2 linked regions of the Struthio camelus genome follow. The protein of the gene in region 2 purifies or fractionates together with the protein of the main gene of each other region. This does not show direct contact. Links are inferred from orthologs where the notes say so. Each region holds a gene or a part of one and is shown on either strand. Other genes may lie near its edges.

The links. The genes of interacting proteins can lie anywhere in the genome.
Region 1: the proteins of DUSP8 (region 2) and MAPK8 purify together in Homo sapiens (affinity purification with mass spectrometry; 3 studies listed by BioGRID and IntAct, counting the BioPlex papers as one, with this or other methods). This does not show direct contact. The link is inferred for Struthio camelus from reciprocal best matches to the Homo sapiens genes DUSP8 and MAPK8.

What each region holds. Positions count from the first base shown.
Region 1 is NC_090948.1:21,903,144-21,912,442, forward strand, and holds the start of MAPK8 (mitogen-activated protein kinase 8), read right to left. Parts: upstream 4,577-9,299; 5' UTR 4,419-4,576; intron 4,368-4,418; exon of another isoform or gene 4,305-4,367; intron 4,092-4,304; exon of another isoform or gene 3,960-4,091; intron 3,762-3,959; exon of another isoform or gene 3,743-3,761; intron 2,883-3,742; 5' UTR 2,801-2,882; intron 1-2,800. UniProt on the Homo sapiens protein: Serine/threonine-protein kinase involved in various processes such as cell proliferation, differentiation, migration, transformation and programmed cell death.
Region 2 is NC_090946.1:17,930,450-17,940,758, forward strand, and holds the start of DUSP8 (dual specificity protein phosphatase 8), read right to left. Parts: upstream 3,935-10,309; 5' UTR 3,871-3,934; intron 3,613-3,870; exon of another isoform or gene 3,551-3,612; intron 1-3,550. UniProt on the Homo sapiens protein: Has phosphatase activity with synthetic phosphatase substrates and negatively regulates mitogen-activated protein kinase activity, presumably by catalysing their dephosphorylation.

The DNA.
Region 1 (9,299 bases), on a different chromosome or scaffold from region 2:
GGACAGAAAAAAAGAGAGGGTATTTTAAGGTTTTGATCTGAAAATTTCATCTGTTACTGAGGTAGAGTAAGCTGAATTTAGAAAAATTCTGAACAGTGAATGGGAAGTTGTCTCTACCAACAGGAAAAAAAAAAAAAAAAAACTTAAGAGATAGTTGCTATCCATTTTTCAAGTGCCATAAAAGATAAACTGGTATTTGTAATCCTACATGTAAAATACAGTCCTACAAAAAATTTACATATATGTATATATGTGTGTGTGTGTGTATAAATATATGTATATATAAACCATTTAAATTTTAAAGTAAGATTCAAGACTGGATTACATAAGCACTAAGTAAAGCACAGGCACACCAGGAAAGCACTGCTTCACAAAAGCAGTATTAAAATAAAATAAAATAATAAAAAGGAAGAAAACACAAACAGTTATCAGCACTACAAAGACATATCTTCTGCCTCATTGCTCTACTTCAGTTCATGAACTTTCAACTGTCTACCTTAAGGGTGTTTATTGAAATGACTAATATGGCTAGATCTGGAAAAGGATGTCCATCCAGTGTAAGCTACCAATTTAGAATTGCTCTAGACCAACATTCATCACCAAGCAGGTACTCATCCTAAATCATTTAGCCTTAACAGTGAATTCAAGCAAACAAAATAAGCACCTTGTTTGGAATGCTTTTAGGGAACATCTGCAGAAGGCCCAGTCTATGAACATATCTTCAAACAAGAACCTCTGAATATAGAAGAGGTTTTCCCACTTGCATTACTCCAGCCTTCCAGCAACTACTATTCAACCTGTTGTTTCGTATGTACATCTTTGATAGCAGTCCCTACCTAAGCAGTCTCCTGTCTCCCAACATTGTACCAGTACAGCTATTTGTTCAGACACAAAAGGGAATTAATCAGTCCAACAGGAAGATTTTTCAGTTGTATCAGTCAGTTCCCTGTCTGCTTTGCCACACAGGAGCTGGCAAGAAAGAACAGCAGGGAGAGAAACTGCTCAAGAAAGGTAACCACTGAACATGGAACTATGGTGTTATGTTATAGAAATACAAAAAGTATTATCATTGCTCTGAAAACTCAAAGACTTTATCAACCAACTAATTATCTTCCACTAAAGTCACTATTAAAAAGAATATATGCAAATATAAATGACTATTTCTGTACTTGCATATGGACATATATACACCATGTAACGAAGCAATGCTTAATTAACTATAGTTGATATTTTCACAAGGATAACCAGAAATGGCATTTTTTCAAGTTTAAAAGGGAATCTTCAATTCCATTTGGACAAGTGGATTTGTGAAAAGATCCAAACAGTAGACGTTCAGATTCTCAGTTCAGCAAAATAAAAATTGTTTTCCTGAATCCATGTCCAAACTGTGATGAATTTCACAGCAGGCAAACCGTCTAAATAGTTTAAATTGATTTTTAAGGACAGATCTTTCCATAACATTAACAAAGAAGTTTATTTCCACGGGTTTTGGGTTTAGAACTTTTTTTTAAATGGAAACACTTATGGCAATAAAATACATTCTTATCACTTATTAAAAAGGCAGCTATGAGCAAAACCAGATTAGCCTAATTTGCAAAAAGTGATACAGCAATGAACATTATATACATACTCACAGAAAACTTTTTTCATGGGGAAGAAAAGGGAAGCTTAAGAAACATCATACCGTACTTTTCAGCAGATTATCAGGAAGGATATCTGTTTTAGTCCAGAATATTGGATCAATCCTCAGAAATGAAGGGCTACACACTTACTTTTTATACATCTTTAAACAACAAGCACTCACATGATTTAGGTAGTTGGGAAAGGAAGAAAAAAAAAACCACCCAAACATACAGTGAACAAATAACCAAATAGTATTATAATCTCAAATACTATCCCATTAACTCATGGTTTAAGAATTAGAACAAGCAACAACCACAACTAACCATGTCAGGTAAGTAGCAGGCAGAAAATAAATAAGTGTTTTGGAGTCTCAACAATGGAATTTATTTGCTAATATTTGCATTACAATTGGCTGATACAGCAACTTATCTAAAGGATTTGCAAAGGAGGTTATACTTGCACTCCTATAAAGCCAGCAAAGGCCTAGCTCTCTAAAGAGAATCATTAAAAGTTAAAGACAACAACCAAGAAAACAACCCATACACAAAGGACAGCTCATCTTCTGCCTAGAATGAGTAGTCCCAAACAGTAGGACACAGGACTGTATTGGATCATCTTTTTAATGTTTCTGACCAAGAAGCCTCCATATGGTATATGGTAAACAGCAAGACACTTCATCTGCTTATAGGAGCCACTGGAGCCAAAAAGCTAGGGAAATTCTGCACTAGAAGACAGAGTTAAAATTGCTTTGTCAGAGTTATGACAAAATGTCTTTGTGCAGTCAACTTTGTGCATCCTCTACAACTCCAAAACTCTTTCCCTTCTCCTAACATACTTTTGCCCTATCTGTCTTGAAAGCAGTTAGTACCTGACAATCAACCTGGAATTTGTCTGGTCCCTGTCCTGGCAGTAGAGATTCTGCAGAACTCAGCAATGGGCGTTTATGTGAAAACCACTGAACATCCAGTCACTTGGGGGGTGGAGGAGGGCAGAGGGACTAGCCTATGCTACAAATCTGAAATCAAGTGAAAAAAAAGACAAGATGGCTGTCCTCGTAGACCGAGATCAAGCATGGGACTGTTAAAAATTCAACATACGTTTCTTAGGTATTACTAAAAGAATTAAGAGTCCCTCTTCATTATACCCCAGGAAAGCTCAGATAAGTCAGTGAACTCACTTTGACAGTAGACTTTAACTAGATTTGGCCCAGTGCGTCTTCAGGCTACAGCTGGAACCATTTGTAGGTTATGCTGATATATCTGCAAATACATAGATAAAGTAAGATGCATTTCAAATACTGTCCCATCCTAGGGGTATATTTGTCTGCACCTCTAAAAGCAAGGCTAGCACTCATGTAAATTGAGAGTCCCCCACTAGTCAGTGTCTCCATGCCTGTAAATAAGACCGAGTTGTGATGTAAGCTTGCAAAATTCTCCTCGCAAAACTCTACATGCACGTGCCCTAGGGCAATTAATACTTTCCTTCCACGAGAAGTATAATACCCTCTATATTTACATTATCAGACAGGCCAAAGCGTGCAGGGTTTCTGGATGATCTGAAAGACTTCAGCAAGCCTGTTCTGCAGAGCGCTTAAATTCAAAAAACACACTACACACCTGAATCTGTTACTGTAACTAGGGGAGAATTAACCGAGTGGGGTTCATATTTGTAGCTTATCAGTCATGCCCAGATCAGGCTTCAGCGATGGCACCACTCCACAGAGAGACACATAAAGAAACAGGCTCTGAGAGCAAAGCCAGACGCTGTTAGCGACACAGAGCAACTAAAGGACAAAACAAATTCTGCAGGCAGGCAGCTCACCCCTTTCACCGGAAACATGAAATTAAAAGGCAAAACAATCGGAAGCGCCGCCAGACGCCCCCCAGCCCCCCTGCGGATTTGGGGCGGTCACGCCGTCCCGGAGGAGCGTTTCTTCCCGAGGAGGCACTTCCACAGCAAGGTCGCGGAGCCGCGCTCCCGCGGGGGGCGGTCCCGGCCCCGCAGGCCAACAGGCCGCCGCGCCGCGCCGCGCCGCCCCCCGCGCCCCCGGGGGAGGAGCCCGCGCCGAGCCCCGGCCCCTCCCGGCCGCCAACAAAGAGCCCCCCGCCCCCCCCGTTACCGGGAGACGCCGGGCGCCGAGCGCGGCCCGGCCCGGCCCGGCCCCGGCGGACACGGGCCTGGAGAGCCCCGCGTCGCCTCAGGGCCGGGGGCGCCCCCGCTGCCACAGGCCGAGCGCCGCCCCCGCCGCGGCCTCGCTCCGAAACGTAAACAAAGAGGCCCGGCCCGGCCGCCGCCGCCTCAGTCCCGCTCCCCGCCGCCGCCGTCGCCGCCACCACCACCTCCTCCTCAGCCCCAGCCAGGCCGCCGCCGCCGCCGCCGTCTCGGCCCCGCTCGCCGCCTCCCGCCGCCTGCTCGGCCGCTGAGTAATGAGCCGGGGCCGGGCCGCGCGCACGCTCCGCCCGCCCGGCGCGGCTGCGGCTGCGCCGGCCCCGCCCACGCCGCGGCCTGTCCGCGCCCGCGGGCTCTGCGGCGCCCCCGCTGCCCGCCCGGCTGCCAGCGCCGGCATCGCCAGGGCTCCTCCGCGCCCGCCCTCCCGCAGCAGCCCCTGTCCCGAATTACGCCTCCCCTCCTGCCGGCACTGCCATAAACAACCGCGTTTCGCAGCTCCATGCCGTCCGCACCCCGCCATCGCGCTCCAGCGGCAGTTTTCCTCGTGCCCCCAGACGCCTTGGGCTGCGCTGGCACCGCCGCGGATCCGGGGCCGCGTCTGCCACGCCCGAGCTTTATCTCCTTACTGGGTGTTGTCATATTTTTTTGTTCCGTAGCTGCTCTGGCAATTTTTCCTCTCAGTCTTCAGTGCTGCGTTGCGAGGCTTTGAGTCATCCCTCGCCATCGTCTTTGGCTCTCGCTGCCTGACGCAAGCAGTCGCTCTTTGGTTTTTCTGCGTTTTCTTTGGTATATCATTGTTTGTTCCCCGCCCCGTGTCACTGCGCAGAGACAAAAGGAGGCCAGGCCTCTGAGCACCTTGAAGCCCTATCAACACGTTTGAAGCAAGCCTTTGTATATTTACGCTGCACAGTACAAAAAAGGCTCTTTGACCGGTTTTTAATTAAAATCTGTCAGTCCGGCACACCAAAATCAGACAGTCCACGTTTAATCGATTTGTTAAACATTTAAGTGTCACGTTTTTGAAGATGCCAAGATCACAGTGAGGTCGTCACTGCTAACAGCTTTTACCCTGCTGCATGGCTGTAACAAGCTTAGATTTTCACACCATAAAGGTGGTGCTTCAGAGTATTACAGTTTGGCCCACTATCCTGGCGCTATTAGGAGCTTCACTTCCATAAAGCTGTTGACCTACTACTCATATGCCTGTTTTAGTGAGGTCTCTGCACTCACGTCCTTAAAATTCTCATTTATTTTAGGCAAGCGTATTTTCAATCCATATCTGAGAAGTCGTTCCATTACAGATCCCTGCAGACAGATACACAGCGTTTCCTTTATACCTACAGGAAAAGCTATCGCTTAGACTCCACCCCAGGAGAGAGGCCCCTCTGCATCCCACCAGGCTCTTAAGCGTCTTTCCAAGAGAGAGGAAATCAAGTTTCTCCCACTTCACCTCTGATTATTTTCATGGGGCAGTCTCTGAGTTGAATTAACTCGTGTTTTGCTTTCAGGCTTTTTCTGGTAGGAGTACGTGAGAATACAGTCAGGTGTTGCATTCCCTTCCGTGTTTATTTGTGCCAAAGGCTGGCAGGAAAGGCAATACAAATCCCTGAAATCCACTGGAGGCAAAAAAATTTAATCTGGTTAGGTCATATCCATCTTCATCAGCAGATGAGACTAGCCCTGCCGATTTTGCCTGAAGCAGACCGTGGCACAGGCACGTGTTTCCTTCTGCTGGCAAGCAGACCTCTCTGGTAGCAACCTTTGCTGCTCTGCGTCTCTGCTGCCAGAAACGGGGGGTGGGGGGGTGACACCACGTTCAGCCAGCACAGTTATTTGCAAGGCAAATTCCTTCCTGCGGCTTTAAGGATCACCTATGTTACTCTTAATCTTTTGGGGAGCTATCGTTCCTAATCGTGCTATTTGAGATAAGACTTCACTGAGACTGGCAAGTTTAAAATGGCGTTTTGCTTATGCTATAGGTTTGTCACATATGTTTTTCACTGGACGTTCAAATTCTCATTGAGATTTTACACGTTACAAAGTTGACACTTTAACAGAGATGTATTTATAAGTGAGTTTTTTAAAACTAGCACTCACAGCCATATGTGCCATCAGCATCTATCGCTAGCTTGTATGCAGAGCTGATAAGCAACAGATAATAATGATGCAGAAATTACACAACAAGAGCAGACCAGTGTTGATGCAAAGCACAATGAAGTAGCATTATATATTTTAATATTACACGTTCCATGGACTCCTACATATTTAAAGATTTTATGAAGGAACACAATAAAAGGAAAATAAGGATTTGATATCATAAATCTGCTACTTACTAGTATATCGCCTTTAAAAAATTAAAGACATTACCGATAGGCTGTAAGGTTCCTGTGCTCTATGCAAAAATTTTAAGACATTGAAATAATGCCTCTCTTAATAAGGACAAAATTTCCCTGATTGTGTGAATAATCTGTTTTTTAAAACTAAGTCCCTAAAAAAAATTTTTTTTTTGAGAATGTTATTTAGCATCACCATAGTGTTGTTTTCAAAACTGCTTTGCAGAAGTATTTTCTTGCAAGCATAATGGCTATGTGCAAATATTGAGTATGCCCGGGTGGAGACTCTTTTCTGGATCGTCCTGACTGATATCCAAAAAGATAAGAAAAGTTAGAAACTACAATACAAAACATCAAGCCCAAGGCTATATAATGTAGTCACTTTTGTCCACAAAACATCCATAGTAAAGAATGATGAATTATTTTTGCACCAAAACGGACTAGGATAATTCACAAAGTAAGTGAATGTACTTCAGTTGAATGGGGCTGCAGTGAGAAGACACAGGGTGGTACCTTCTTAAACCACAACAGCTGTTTAAAAGTAAGTATCTGATTATGCCTACAATCATTCTTAGACAAGTTTCTCTTCCTGAGAAGAGAAATAAGATATTCTAGGTATGTGTTGCAACTGTAAGATAACAACATTTAGATAGGCAGGTAAATAGCATGCTCTGAAAAAAGTTTTTTTTTTTTTTTAAGTTATCTTATTTAAAAACATGTATCTGCAAGAATGGACCTTCTAACATTTCTTTTCTTAAGTCATCTTCAATAGAAGACAAAAATTGCATTTCACTGAACTTCCCAGGCTGAACCACCTGTGCAAACATGCAGTCACTGTAATTCTATCATTTATTTGTTTTAGACATGTATATAAATATCATCATTGCATAGACACCTAGCTACCTTTCAGCACTGAAAGATGCCTTCTGGAAATTAATAAACCATAACCATCTCCTCACCTCACTAATTATCTGGCCAAGAAGAGATCAACAAGAATTGTGGGGAGTCAGGGGGCCCAGTTTTTCCACGCTGAGGCTTGATAAGTCACAGCCAGGATCAACATCCACGCCCTGTTATAAAAACAAGTTGATAAATATTGTTTGCTAAGGGCATTATATTTGGAAACAACCCCCAGACTTTATAACATTTTAGAAAATTCCATAAGTAATACAAATGTTTATGTGAAGTAAACAAAACCGTTTGATAATATCTTTACTTCAACAGTTTATCTTTACCATTGGTTGCAATACAAAAGTTGTATTTCACACTAGAAAATGAAATGGACATTTGCTAGAAACTAGTTACAACCAAAAATTCAATTAACTGGCATATTAAAGCCTGAAAAAAGCATACAAAGAAAATGAATGAAGAATCACACCTTCTAACTGTTGATAAATATAGCAGGTGTTTAAATGTTTCATTTTAATAACCCAGTAGATCAAAAGGAAATTAATAAAAGAAACATTTTACCAGCTGGATTTTTTATTTAACTATGTCTTTAAGAGCAAGATGAAATCAGTGTCAAGTAACTAGTTGGAGGGAACTGCATTCCCCCACTGAGTGGAACTGGAAACAGTCACTAATCAGTAAATGCTGATTTATTGTTCGTTCTGCCTGTTAGCAAATAATCATGACTTAGGATTAAGTTTTTTTAATAGTAATCAAAATCAACTGAACAGTTGCTGGCCTTGGCAAAGGTAGCAGAAGGAAAGCAGCCACCACGGGGCACCATGCAACAGGTTATAACCTTGATCATGAGCACAGGGGCCATGTTCATGCATAAGGTATACTTCAGCTCAGAAAAAGAGACATTTCTGTCTGTGTAGTCAACAGACCATGTGTTCTCTGAAATGGCATTAACACTGTTAACCTCTTCTTTGCTGAGCCTGCAAAGGTCTTTCTGAGTGTAAGTCCATTAACAGTCCATTTATATCAGTAGGGTGTACCAAGTAAATTGGCAGCCAAGTATATACAACCAGTTAGACATACTCAGCTGATCAGAAATTGCTAGTGGAGAAAAGTGTAGTTTAACCATGAAGAGACAGTGTTTATGGTATCACAATGCCTCATATTTCTATACACTGATATTAATACAACATAGGGTGTTTTTTATTTATACTGTCACTCAGCTGAAATTTTGCATGGGCAAGGCTTTCATATAATTTAGATAAAAGTTCTTGAGTTTGGCTTTATATGGTGACAACATCGGAGAGTGGGATCCCTGCGCCAGATTCAGGGCTGGATTCTGGTAACGTATTCTAACTATGTCATAGCCAAGTGTTGCTCTGGTTTCTTTACTAGGGAAATATTGATTATAGGTGTGTGTAACTTTGAGTTGTAGAGTTTAATTCCTAAATCCCCCAAACATACTTCTAATTTTTATCTGTGTCACACTCCTGTCTTCCTAAATTATGTACTTAGATGCCTGATCTCCCTTTCCACTGCGGCTGCTTAATGCTGCACCTTATCAATGAAGCCTCTATACTTGGCTTTCTAAGAATAATTCCAGAACAAAGGGCATTTCTAGGCATTCAGAACAAGACCACAGGGACTTTTATATCGGCTGTTTGTCCATCATCATTACAAGAACATCATAGCTGGAAAAGCCCCTGCACCAGACTGAATTCAGCTGCTTGGAACCGGTGGCAGGTGACCAAAATTAGATGACCATTCAGACAACACTTACACAAAACTCAGTGGATTCTGAAGGCCAATTTTCAGCTATGTTCTCTCCAACCAGCATTCAATGGTTTTTTGCTCTGAACTTGCTCGATACATCTTTTTGTTAAAGCAAAGTAAGACTGATCAGGAGCGCACTAATTCTTGTCAGAATTTTTTGATTTCAACTCCTAAATACTAACATATCTCCCATGTTAGATGTATTAAATATTATCTGTGAAGAGAGCTAGAAATGACTTTATTTCAAATGAAATTGGCCAACAGCAATCATCTGACATCCTGTCTAAAAGCTGGTTGAATCTAACCTTCCATATGATGATCCTGATTAAAAAAAAACCAAACAAACTAGTAGCTTCTGAATACAGATTTGAAAAACAACTAAATGTGAAGACCGCAAGCTAAATGGCAGGTAAAGGGACACAGAAAACTTAGTTTTATCTCTTTTGACTTGGTATTTTATTATGCACTGACGAAAGCATTTTGAAGATATTTGTG
Region 2 (10,309 bases):
ATTTCCATCCTTGAAAGTGAGATGGTTGAGAGGCAAAAGACCCTTGTGGATAGCACTGACTCGGAGGCTCTTCCTGCTTGAGGTAGAAAGTCTACAAACAGCTCTTGAAAGAGGAAGAGATAAGAGTTTGTTTTTCTTTCTACGACCTTCTGCTAAAGAGAAGACCGGGCGACTGAGGTGTCCACCTCGGCCACAGCTCAGGAACTCGCACCTTGGTCTCTGGCTTGGATTTGGCTCGCGTGGGCCAAACTTTGCCTGGCAAAAGCACCCGTTTTGAGGGCAGCGCTGCCATACCATTATCCCAGAGCGCCTTGGCACCATCAGCTTTTACAGCCTTAATGTCCCTAGGCTGTATTGCATCCCTGCTCACAAAGTATGCACAGGTCTTCCCAAACAAGCTTGAGAAAATCATGAGCAGGGAGCTCATTCGGCTTCTTATCTGATGAATTGTCTCAGGCCCCCTTGCCTCCCCACCCCAAGCCAGCCTGAAATTACGTCAGGTGTCTGCCTTCCCACTCAGCATCAGGTAGGACAGGTGTATCTTCAGAGGAGAAATGCAGAGCTTGAAAAACAGGTTTTAAAGCCCAGAGGGCGTGAGGCTGCAGCAGAGCATTTTTAAGCTTTCCCCACAGGATGACAGCAGTGAAGGTCTGGCTGCAAAGTTCTAAGCATAGTAGCAAAGAAAAGCCCGGGGTGAAATGGCACCGCACGTCAAGGAAAAGGAGCACCTCTTGTGCTGTGGCTTTCCGCAGCCGGCTCCCCCTTAGCATTGCCATTAAACCAACAGTAGAGGGCAAAAAGATCTACAAACTCTCCAGCCTAGTTTAATCTTCCAACTGTCCTACCAGGCAGAGGACCCAGTATTTGCAAGCTCCTTTTCTTTATCACCTTGTTCTTTACAAAATCCAGTTTGCTGCAGCAGCCGAAGTGTGACGGTAGCATCCTGTAAGTCAGTCCTGTAAGTCAAGACTGCCAAGCACTGAAACACCTCCTTTTCCTGCTTTCATCCCAGATGGCCTTAACATGTTCTACACCTGCGTGCACGCGGGGCTTTTGGAGCCAAACCTCAACTGAGCTATACACCAAAGAAACCGGTGTCTGCTCCTTAAGAAGAGACTTAATTAAAGTCAACAGAACAAATCGAAACAGGAAAGCAGCTATAACACGCTCCTTATTCTTACACAGATTTAAAGCAGCACTTGTTGGCAGAGAGGTAGGGAATAAGGATGGAGAGGAAGCCCCTTCACACTCATCCTGAGAATGCTCATTTTCAAAAATCCTTCTGAGACACAAATGGTTTCCATTTTGGGGGGTTTTCTTGTGGGGGAGAACCTCATTTTCTCTCAAGAGGCAATTTGCCTGTATGAGACATACGCTACTGAGAAGTCTCATCCAGCCTTCGGGGGTGCTTTGGTAGTAACAGCAGCATCGTATTTAATTTTAAGTGACAAACTCTGCAAAGGCAGGCACCTCAGTGGGTTTCTCAGCAAGGTGCTTGGCACCCAGCAAAAACATCTCTGCAAACAAATGCCAAGTACTACACTTGCAAGAGTGATCTCCATTAAGAGAGCCCTGAGGAGTCTGGCCACTTTGCTCAGGTCTCCCAAACACAGCAGAGGCTAGATTTCATAATGTAAAGCTAGATCTAAGTCTCCCTCTCCTATTCCTTAGCTTGCATTAAGGCAGGGACAACTGAAAGTCACAGTCGGCTAAACTGTTGAGTTAAAAGCATTTTGGTGTGAAACGCTGACATCTCAGAACCAGTATTCAAGACACCATTTAGATCAAGGGTTTCTCTACTTGAGTTTATTGCCAATCAGCCGAGCGTAGGAAGTCCAACATACTGTCATCCCAAGGAGGCATTTGGGCCCCCATCTGCTCTCGCATTCCCAAATGTCCTTTGTGGTAGTGGCCATTAGGACAGCCCCACACATGCGCACCCTGCCAGCAGGGCTATGCCACCCACAATTGAGAAGTTTTCTTGGTGTTGCAGCTTATTTGTTTGGCAACTGCTACAAGCAAAACCAAAGCAAACCCAGCAAGTCCCAACTAGACTCAAACCCAATAAACCTCTTCTGCAGAGGAAAACCGAACAGCGCAGACCGCTTACAACAGCGCTAGCAAACCCCTCCGAGACAGGCAAGGCCAAACCTGCGAGTGCCAATTCCCACGCGTCAAGTCCTGAAAACAAAGCTCTCCGCCACCGAATTTCAGTGTGAAGGCAGCCATACCCCAAGCCTTTTGCCTTAGCAGGGAAGAAAGAGACAATGCAAGCAAACGGCAAACGCAGCTCCACAGGCAAGCCCGCTTCAAGGTTAAAAGAGCCCCGGTGTGGCTGGAAGCACCCGCCAGGCTGCCAGCACAGTCCTCCTCACTACCTGCTCCAGCCTCCTTGGGCTTTTTGACAGCTGCACCATTCGCTTCGCGGGGGGCAGAGGGAGGTATCTGTCTTCACGCCCCAAATTAGAGGGAGACTGAAACCTCCGGCAACCGTTCCTAGCGTATTTGCGACTGCTCACTGTTTGGGACAGGGATGGTCTTTTTGACACATGCTTTTATATACAGCGCCTAGCAGGCTGTGCTCCCCACTAGGGAGCTTTTGATACTACCACAATCCAAATAAGAAACGCATCTGTGCCCAGCAAACGCAAACATCCTTAACAGAACAACACTGCACCACGTCCCTCCTTACAACAAAACCGCAAATTACTGACCTGTGCGTAGAGCTCCCCCAATGCAAGCTGAAGCACTGACATCAGCTTTTACTGTGCTCAGGAATTTAATTCTGGGGGAGGAGAAAGGAAGGGGGCGAGCAGAAAAGAGAAGGAACTTGTTTATCAATAAAGGGAAACAATCAGGATTCTGACTAGTGATAATCAGCTCTAACTTTCAGCACAAAATCCAACATTTATCACTACATAACAATGAGGGGGGAGGGAGAGATGATCAATTGCTCCATGCACGTTATGGGAGGTCAAGGAGATTATTTTAAATGGGCAGCTTAACTCATTAATCGCTAGCAGCGCCTTTGGAGCTGCAGCAGTGAAGCGTTGCATGAAAACCCCTGCTGCTGAACACATGCCGGCTTCCCCGGGCTCGTTTAAACGCCAAGGACACACGGCGACACTCCAAACTCTCTCATCGTTAGAAAACCACAGCGCTGTTAACACCGATTCCTCAAACCCCAAGCCTCAGCCCCCAAAGAGAAAAACCGCTAGCAAGATACCCCCAGCGACACCGGAGCGCGGCGGGAGCCCAGAGCTCCGACCGCCTCGGCGCAGCCGGGCCCGAGCCGGCGCCGCCTCCGCGCGCACCTGCGGCAGCCGCAAAGCCGCGCGCCGCTGCCCGGCTCCCAGCGCAGCGGGCGCCCGGCGCGCACCTCCCCGGCGCCGCTCTCCGCGCCGCAGCGCGGCCTCGGCACGGCTTCGCCCTCCCCCTTTTTCTTTCTGGTTTTTTTTTTGTTTGTTTGTTTCTTTTGCACCAGCATAATCCCAATCCCCCCTTTAAAAAGCCGTATTACATCTATATTTATCTATAGCAGCCGCCCTACCGGCCCCGGGCGGCGCCGGCGCGCTGTCCGTCTCCCCCGCTCCGCTCCGCTCCGCGCAACTCCGCACATGCCCCGGCGCCAGCCCCTGCGTCCCCACGACGGACGCCGCGTACGCGCCGCACATGTGCTGCGTGCTGCAGTGCACAGCGCGGCCGCGCCGCTCCCCGCGTACGCGCCCCTGCCCGCACCTCCCGGCACACACACACACACATATATATATATACGCATTTGCAGGCACATACATATCTATATAAAATATATATGCCTATGGAGCGCGTGCAGGCGCTGCCCCCGCCCGCCCCCCGCGGCCCCGCACTGACCCGGCGCGGCGGAGGGCCGCTCCGCGCCGCTCCGCGGGCTGGCGCGGCCGCTGGCGGCGCCGCCGGGCCCGCCTGCCGCGGCGCGCAGGGGCCGCGCCGCTCCGCGCCGCTCCGCGCGCCGCCGGGAATGCGCCGGCGATGAGGTCATGCCTCGGGGAAAAAAAAAAAAAAAAAAAAGGCAAAAAAAAAAGGCAAAAAAAAAGCCTCAAGCTGACGTCACCCGCAGCCAATCAGCGCGGCGGGCGCCAGGGAGGGTGACGTCAGCCTCGCCGCTGCCGCGGCGGCGGGCGCAGCGCTGCGCGGGCGCGGGGTAAGGCCGCCGCTGCCGCTGCCGCTGCCTCGGGCGGCCCCCGAACAAAGGGCCCGGCCCGGCCCGGTGGCACCCGTGGCTGCCCGGCGCCACTCCTGCCCCCTCGGCGCCCCGCGCTGGTGTCCTGAGCCTCGCTGAGACGCCCCCGAGCAGCCGCCCAGGGCCCGGACACCCCTCAGCGCAACGCCGCAGCTCCCGCCGCTCGCTGACGCTACCCCGTTTCGGCCACGAGCAGTTCCCGCGAAGTGCCTTCACGTTTTGCCCCCAGGCCACGTCAAGGAGCCCCCAAATCGCTGCGCTTCTCCCCTTCCCTCTGCCGCAGTGCGATGGCCCGTATGCCAGCCATCGCCAGGCTGTCGCACAGCCCCGACCGCTGCTCCTAGCATCGGGCCGTGGCTGGACGACCCGGGACAGTCCTCCACACGCGCCAGACTGAGCTGGCAAGGCGGCCCGGGTGGCGCAGAGCAGCACGAGGGACCCTTGCGGGGTGGACAGGGTGGACGGGGCGCTCCTTCAGGCAGAGACTGCCCTTTCCATAGAGGTTCCAGGGTGACGTGCGCCAGGAGCCCCAGTCCTACTCTTTTGGTGATACTGTAATGCAAAGAGATGGATTATCCCAAGGAGAGATCGGCCTGAGCAACAAAGCGCCTTTTCAGAGCTGACCTGCCTCGCCATTAGGGTTTCTGGGCTCTGCTGACTTGCGCTGCTCCTGGGCTGGCTTCCCCTGGCCTGGCCGAGCAGCGTTGCTGCAGCTGGAGCAAGGGCTGAGCTGGGCGAAGCTGGCTGTTGCGTACAGCTGGGCAAACACTGTCCCGAAAGAACAACTGCCCTCGGAAAACCTGCATTCAACCCAGCCAAAATGTTATGTTACAACTTCATGGCTTTGACTTTGGTGCTAAATCAGTCCAGGCAGCGTGCTTTGAAAAGGTCAAAAGCTTTCAAATATTTTCTTTCCCGGACCGTTCCCAGCCTATCTTTCTGGTCTGATCTGGATGAAGCTGAACCCTGAAGCTCTCCTGTAGGACAGACAAACCCTCCTCCCTTTTTTAGCTCTCCCTGCCCTCCGTTCCCATGTCTCCTCTGCTGATCTCAATCACCACTTTGCTAAACTTACAACAGTTTGGTGGCTGCCAAAGCCCATCCCTAAGGAATCGCTCACTCATAAATGCCAAAGCTGGGGATAGGAGGGGAAGGACAGACGTAAATGCGATGCAGACTGTGCAGATGGCACGTCAAAGGGTGGCGCAAAGGCCTGGGGTTCAGCAGGAGAGCCAGCGAACCTGGCCCAGTGGGTCCTGCTCCTGTCTCGGCTGCACTTTGCAAATGGTGATGCGTTGCCCTGCTGAAACAGCGCTAAAAAGTGGCGGAAGGTTTTTATTCTTACTCTGTGGATCTCCTTTTCTCTGGGAAAAGCAAACGCACATGGCAAGAGCCAAGAAACCGGCATCTGAAGGAAAGGAGCTCCTCCTCCCCCAGAGCAGCAGGGCATATCGCAAAAAGCTTTCCCCCTCAGGAGGGAGGGGGAAGCCTGGGAAGGTGAAGAGCAGAAGAAAAGGGCCTCATATATGACCTCCCCAGGAAAAGACGCCGCTAGGGCCCAGCGGAGAGCCAGCCCTCATCAGCAAATATTTCAGAAGTGACCTGTCTCACCTGACACAGTGGTAGGACTCGTGGTGGGCTCCCCTCCGTCCCACTGTAGGTGGCATAGAAAAGCCCTATGGCTGGTTTCGGAGCCTGCTAACACAGCAGTGGTTTTTCTCTGCCCTTGGATGTGGCCTGGCAACTCCAGCTTAAAGAGGGATTACGATTTAGAAGCTTAGGTTTTGCTGGCACTTATGAAATCGAGGGAGCCTTCCTCCCTGCTGCTGATACGGATGCCGGATGTTTTAAAATTAACTCTCTTCTCTCCAGTCGTTCACAGCAGCTAGCTAAAGAAGGATATCAAGCTGCCATGGTTACTGACATGGCAAAATCTTTTCAGGAAGGGTCATTTCTTGTAGCGCACCAAAGGCTTAAAGCACTAGTTGCTGGGAAATAGTGCGATGCTAAAAATTTCACTATCCCCATTACGCAAGCAGTGCTGAGCCTCTTCCTATCCCCCTTTCCTACTGCAGAAAATCAATTCCTCCAAAGCGTGTCAGCAGAGAAACTACTGCAAAACTGTGACTGCTTCACCACATGTGTCTAAACTGCGTGACCGGATTGACATCGGCTTTGATTTAGGCCTAGTTACCATAGTCAGTGGCGAGTTACTGGTGTTGTGGCACCAGTCGAGCCATTCGCTTTTTGTGATTTGCTGTGGAGTGGTTTAAGCTGGTGGGAGCAGAAGCTGCGGAAGCGCAGGGTTTGCCTTGGTGTAGCTCAAATGAAGCCCCGGTCTTTAGTCCATTCAGGGTTTCTCACTGTTTTTCCTGCCCGTCTTCCTCTCCGCAGCCTTGCCGAGTGCTCCGGCAGCAGCTTGACGGGCTCTGAGCTCTCCTCCCACTTTGCAAACTGTGAAGTCAGCCCTTTTTACCTGGGCAAAGGGCACATGCTAATAAAACAGCTCCAAAAAAATGGCATAGTCCCCATCCTTCAAATGAATAGAGTAAGGGGAAAAGCCCCCTTTTAATTTTTGGAGGGGAAAAGAAGAATGTCTTCTCTTGCTTCAGTTTAGGGTTGTCCATCCCCCTTTTCCATGGGCAAAATAGAAAAAAAAGAAGGGGAAGGGAATTAGTCTGAAAATCCCAAAACCAAAGCTTTCCTCATAAAAAGTGTTATCTAGGCAGAGAGCCATGAGCTCTTGAAGCCTGCTGAAGGAAGAGGATTTCAACATTTTCTTTCCAAACCCCAGCTAAAATAAACGCTTCCAACCCCAGCCCTGGCAAGCTGCTGCCGAATGAATGCCCCTGGATCAGCTGCCGAGAAGATGACTCCACAGCAGGCCGTTGGCCCGGCCTGCGGAGGAGCACAGTCGCGTGGCGGTGGGGTGAAGGATGCTGAGCAGCCGCCGGCAATCTCCGTTGGGAGGCAAGGAAGAGGAAGATGGCAAGGAGAGGCCAGAGGACGGGGAGTCCCGAGGGGCTGCAAGGAACCAGTGCATGACATGTTGCTTTGGATTGTTAATTCCTGGCACTAACCTGCACCTGCACGGGTGCTCTCACGCTCAAAGCAGGAGAGGGTCCGGCCCACAGGCTCTGCTCCTCTCCCACGCCCACTGCTTCTGAGCGAGGTGCTGTCGCCAAGAGCCTGGTGGGGAGAAACCAAAAGAAATGCTTCAGGGATGTTAAAACTCCTCTTGGGATTGCAGGGGTAAGGAGCAGGTGGTGACAGAGGCTTGCAAAACTTCACCTGGCTTTCAAAGCTTAGCGCTAACCCGATTTAGATCCGAATCCTGTTTGACCTGAAATTGTGGCATTCAGATGTGAACCCGTGGTTCTGGTTACATCAAAGAGGCAGCACTCATCTTTGCATTGCCTTCGAACTGGAGACACACAGTGAGCTCTCGGTGTCTCGTACACACTAAATAGGCAAGCGCTATCTCTATTTTACACAAGGGAAATTAAGCAGAGAGAGACGGGGCAATGTTGTTATGGTCACACAGAAAGAACAAAGCAGCGTCACGCTCTGAGCTCAGATCTACCAGATGTTCATCCATTGTCTTTGCCACGGGGCCAGCATCCCTCCCTTTCCCCTGTACTCATAATGAATCCAACAAAAATTATGCAGCAAGTTGCTTAGTGCTAAAGGAAAGTGCTTTATTTCAGATAAAAAGCACTTAAAAAATAATTCACCCTATTGTCCACACTGTTTTTTCCTCTTTCCCACATTTCAGGCTCATCCGAAGATTGATTGCATCCCAATTACGTGTTTTGAATGTAAGCTACGCTTATACACGTCACATTTTCTGCTAAAACGTTTTCCAAGACCTATGATTGTCATTGCAGGCCAAGCGCAGAATCTGCATACTAGATTTTCCTGTATTCTACAGGGATTAAAGTCAGAACCTGATAATGAAGTAAACTAAAACTAAGGAAGAGAAATTGCTGCCAGACCACCTTTCTCACCTGTCAGAAAAAAAGAGATACCTTTTAGCTGACCTGCAATTACTTTAAGCATCTGAATAATTGTTTTTAACCTTGACCAGGTTCCTGATGCAGTTCCTACCACAGCCAGGCAAGCCCTCCTCCCTTCCCGCTTGAGAGGGCTGTGCACTGCAGTTGGGTGGCAATACTTTACCTGGCAGTACCACCACCATCAAATGTCATCAAAGCCTCTTCCTAAGGAACAATTTTAGCTGCAGCTATGCTAGGGCACAGCCTCGGGATCGACAGGAAAAAACTGCTGTTTGCATCTGTTTGCAAAGAGGATGAGTCATATCGGTGCCGGCTGCAGCACAGTGCTCTGTATTCCCATTGCAGTAGGTATTAGCACCTTTGAATTGCTGATGGCAGAAATGAGAGTCAACCCTTTGGTTGCCACAGCTCTGCTTTTACCAAGCTGTGCTGTTTCTGCTGCGTATGTGGCTGCCACTTTCCCTGCAGCCTCCCAGCCAGGGGTGCAGAGCAGCCCGACAGCAGGCCGTGGGGTTTTGCTGTTGGCTTGGTGGGTGTCATAGTGCCTAGTGTGGGGAGGTGCCAGAAGAAGGGGTGCTCCAAGACTGCTTTGCCAGAAACCTGTAAATGCTGTTTCACACGTTACTCAGCCAAGAGCTGGTCTGCTGGATTGCAGTGCTGTTTAGAGTGCTGCTTCTGGCTGCTTTTTAGGGAATGAAATTGCAGCCAATAGAAGTCAGTAAAGAAACATTGACTGTGGGGAGTTGTATGTCACACCATGAAAAGTGAATCACTCTCCTTTTTGGCTCTCATCCACATGCACCCAGGTAGTTACATCTGCAGCGCTCCCAGTGCACCCCATTGAAGGGCTCGGCGTATCTCTGCATGCCGCCTTCCTTCTACAAAGCTCAAAATGGTGTCACTCAGCTTGCAAGGAGAGTTGCCGTGCTTGAACAGGCGAAAGACACTATCAGCACTATGAGACAGCCTCGTTCCTTGTGCAGAAAGCTGCTACAGATCTGTCTCCATTTCCTCGATAAAAATATATTCACGTGCACAGTGTGGCTCGGCACTTGCAGAACAGAGATTACTACGTGTGCATGTAGCAAAAACAGCTTCCATGCAATTAATTGTGGAAGTGCAGGGCTAGAGGTCTGCATGCTGTGCCATTCATCTAAGTATATGCAGTAGAAACAGTCGTTCTGTAGCTCTGACTGTGCCATTAGGCATCCCAGGCAAATGCAAAAAGAGAAAAAATCAGACAGTGAATAAATTCTCTCAGCTTCTACCTGAACATGTCTGAGAAAACCTGGGCAAAAGCATACAGCTGTGCCAAATCCCGGCCACAACTGATCGTACAGGGCACAGGTCAAAGTCAGGGGATGGGAGGGGAGGAGGACGAGGACCTTTGTACCTGGTACAAAGCAGTTATTCTGGAGGATCCAACCCCCCTGGCAGCAGCTAGCTGTTTGCAGTAACCACCTCAGCTCCATTAAGCATGTCGATTCCTTCCCCCTTAATGCCAGTTGTCAGCTTGGCCCTGGAAAGCAAGGCTAAGCGAGGGGTGTGCATAGAAGCTGCCTGGGGGCATATTCACACCTCTAAAGGTGTGTGTTTGAGGAGGGAGTGAGAGGGCAGGGCTAGGGGAAGGAGAGGGGTACTGAACGGCTTTCGTTCAGCAGATCCCAGTCTTAAAAAACGATCGCTGCCCAGTGCTCCAGAGCAAGGCACTCTCTTCCTTCCTCCACTCGTTTTTCCATATATGAACCGTGGATGGGAAAACGATTTCACCAAGCCGAAAGGCAGCATTGAGTTAGGCTCTGTGCAGGGGTGAGGGCTCTGTTAGGTTGAGCATCTTTTTTCTACCCCCGTGATGGGTTTTGTTAGTCTGCTTACCAGTTGCTAGGTTTTTTTGTTTTGTTTTGTTTTGCGTGTTGCTTAAATCATTTTCATTGATGAGAGCATCTGCTGCCATCTGTGCCTCCCCGTCCCTCCCCTTGGCAGGGCTTACATGCAGCCGCAGTCTGGATGGAGAGCTTGTGCAGTGTTAGCCGTGTAACCTGCAGCACGGATCCTGCACAAGAGTGCTTGGGCA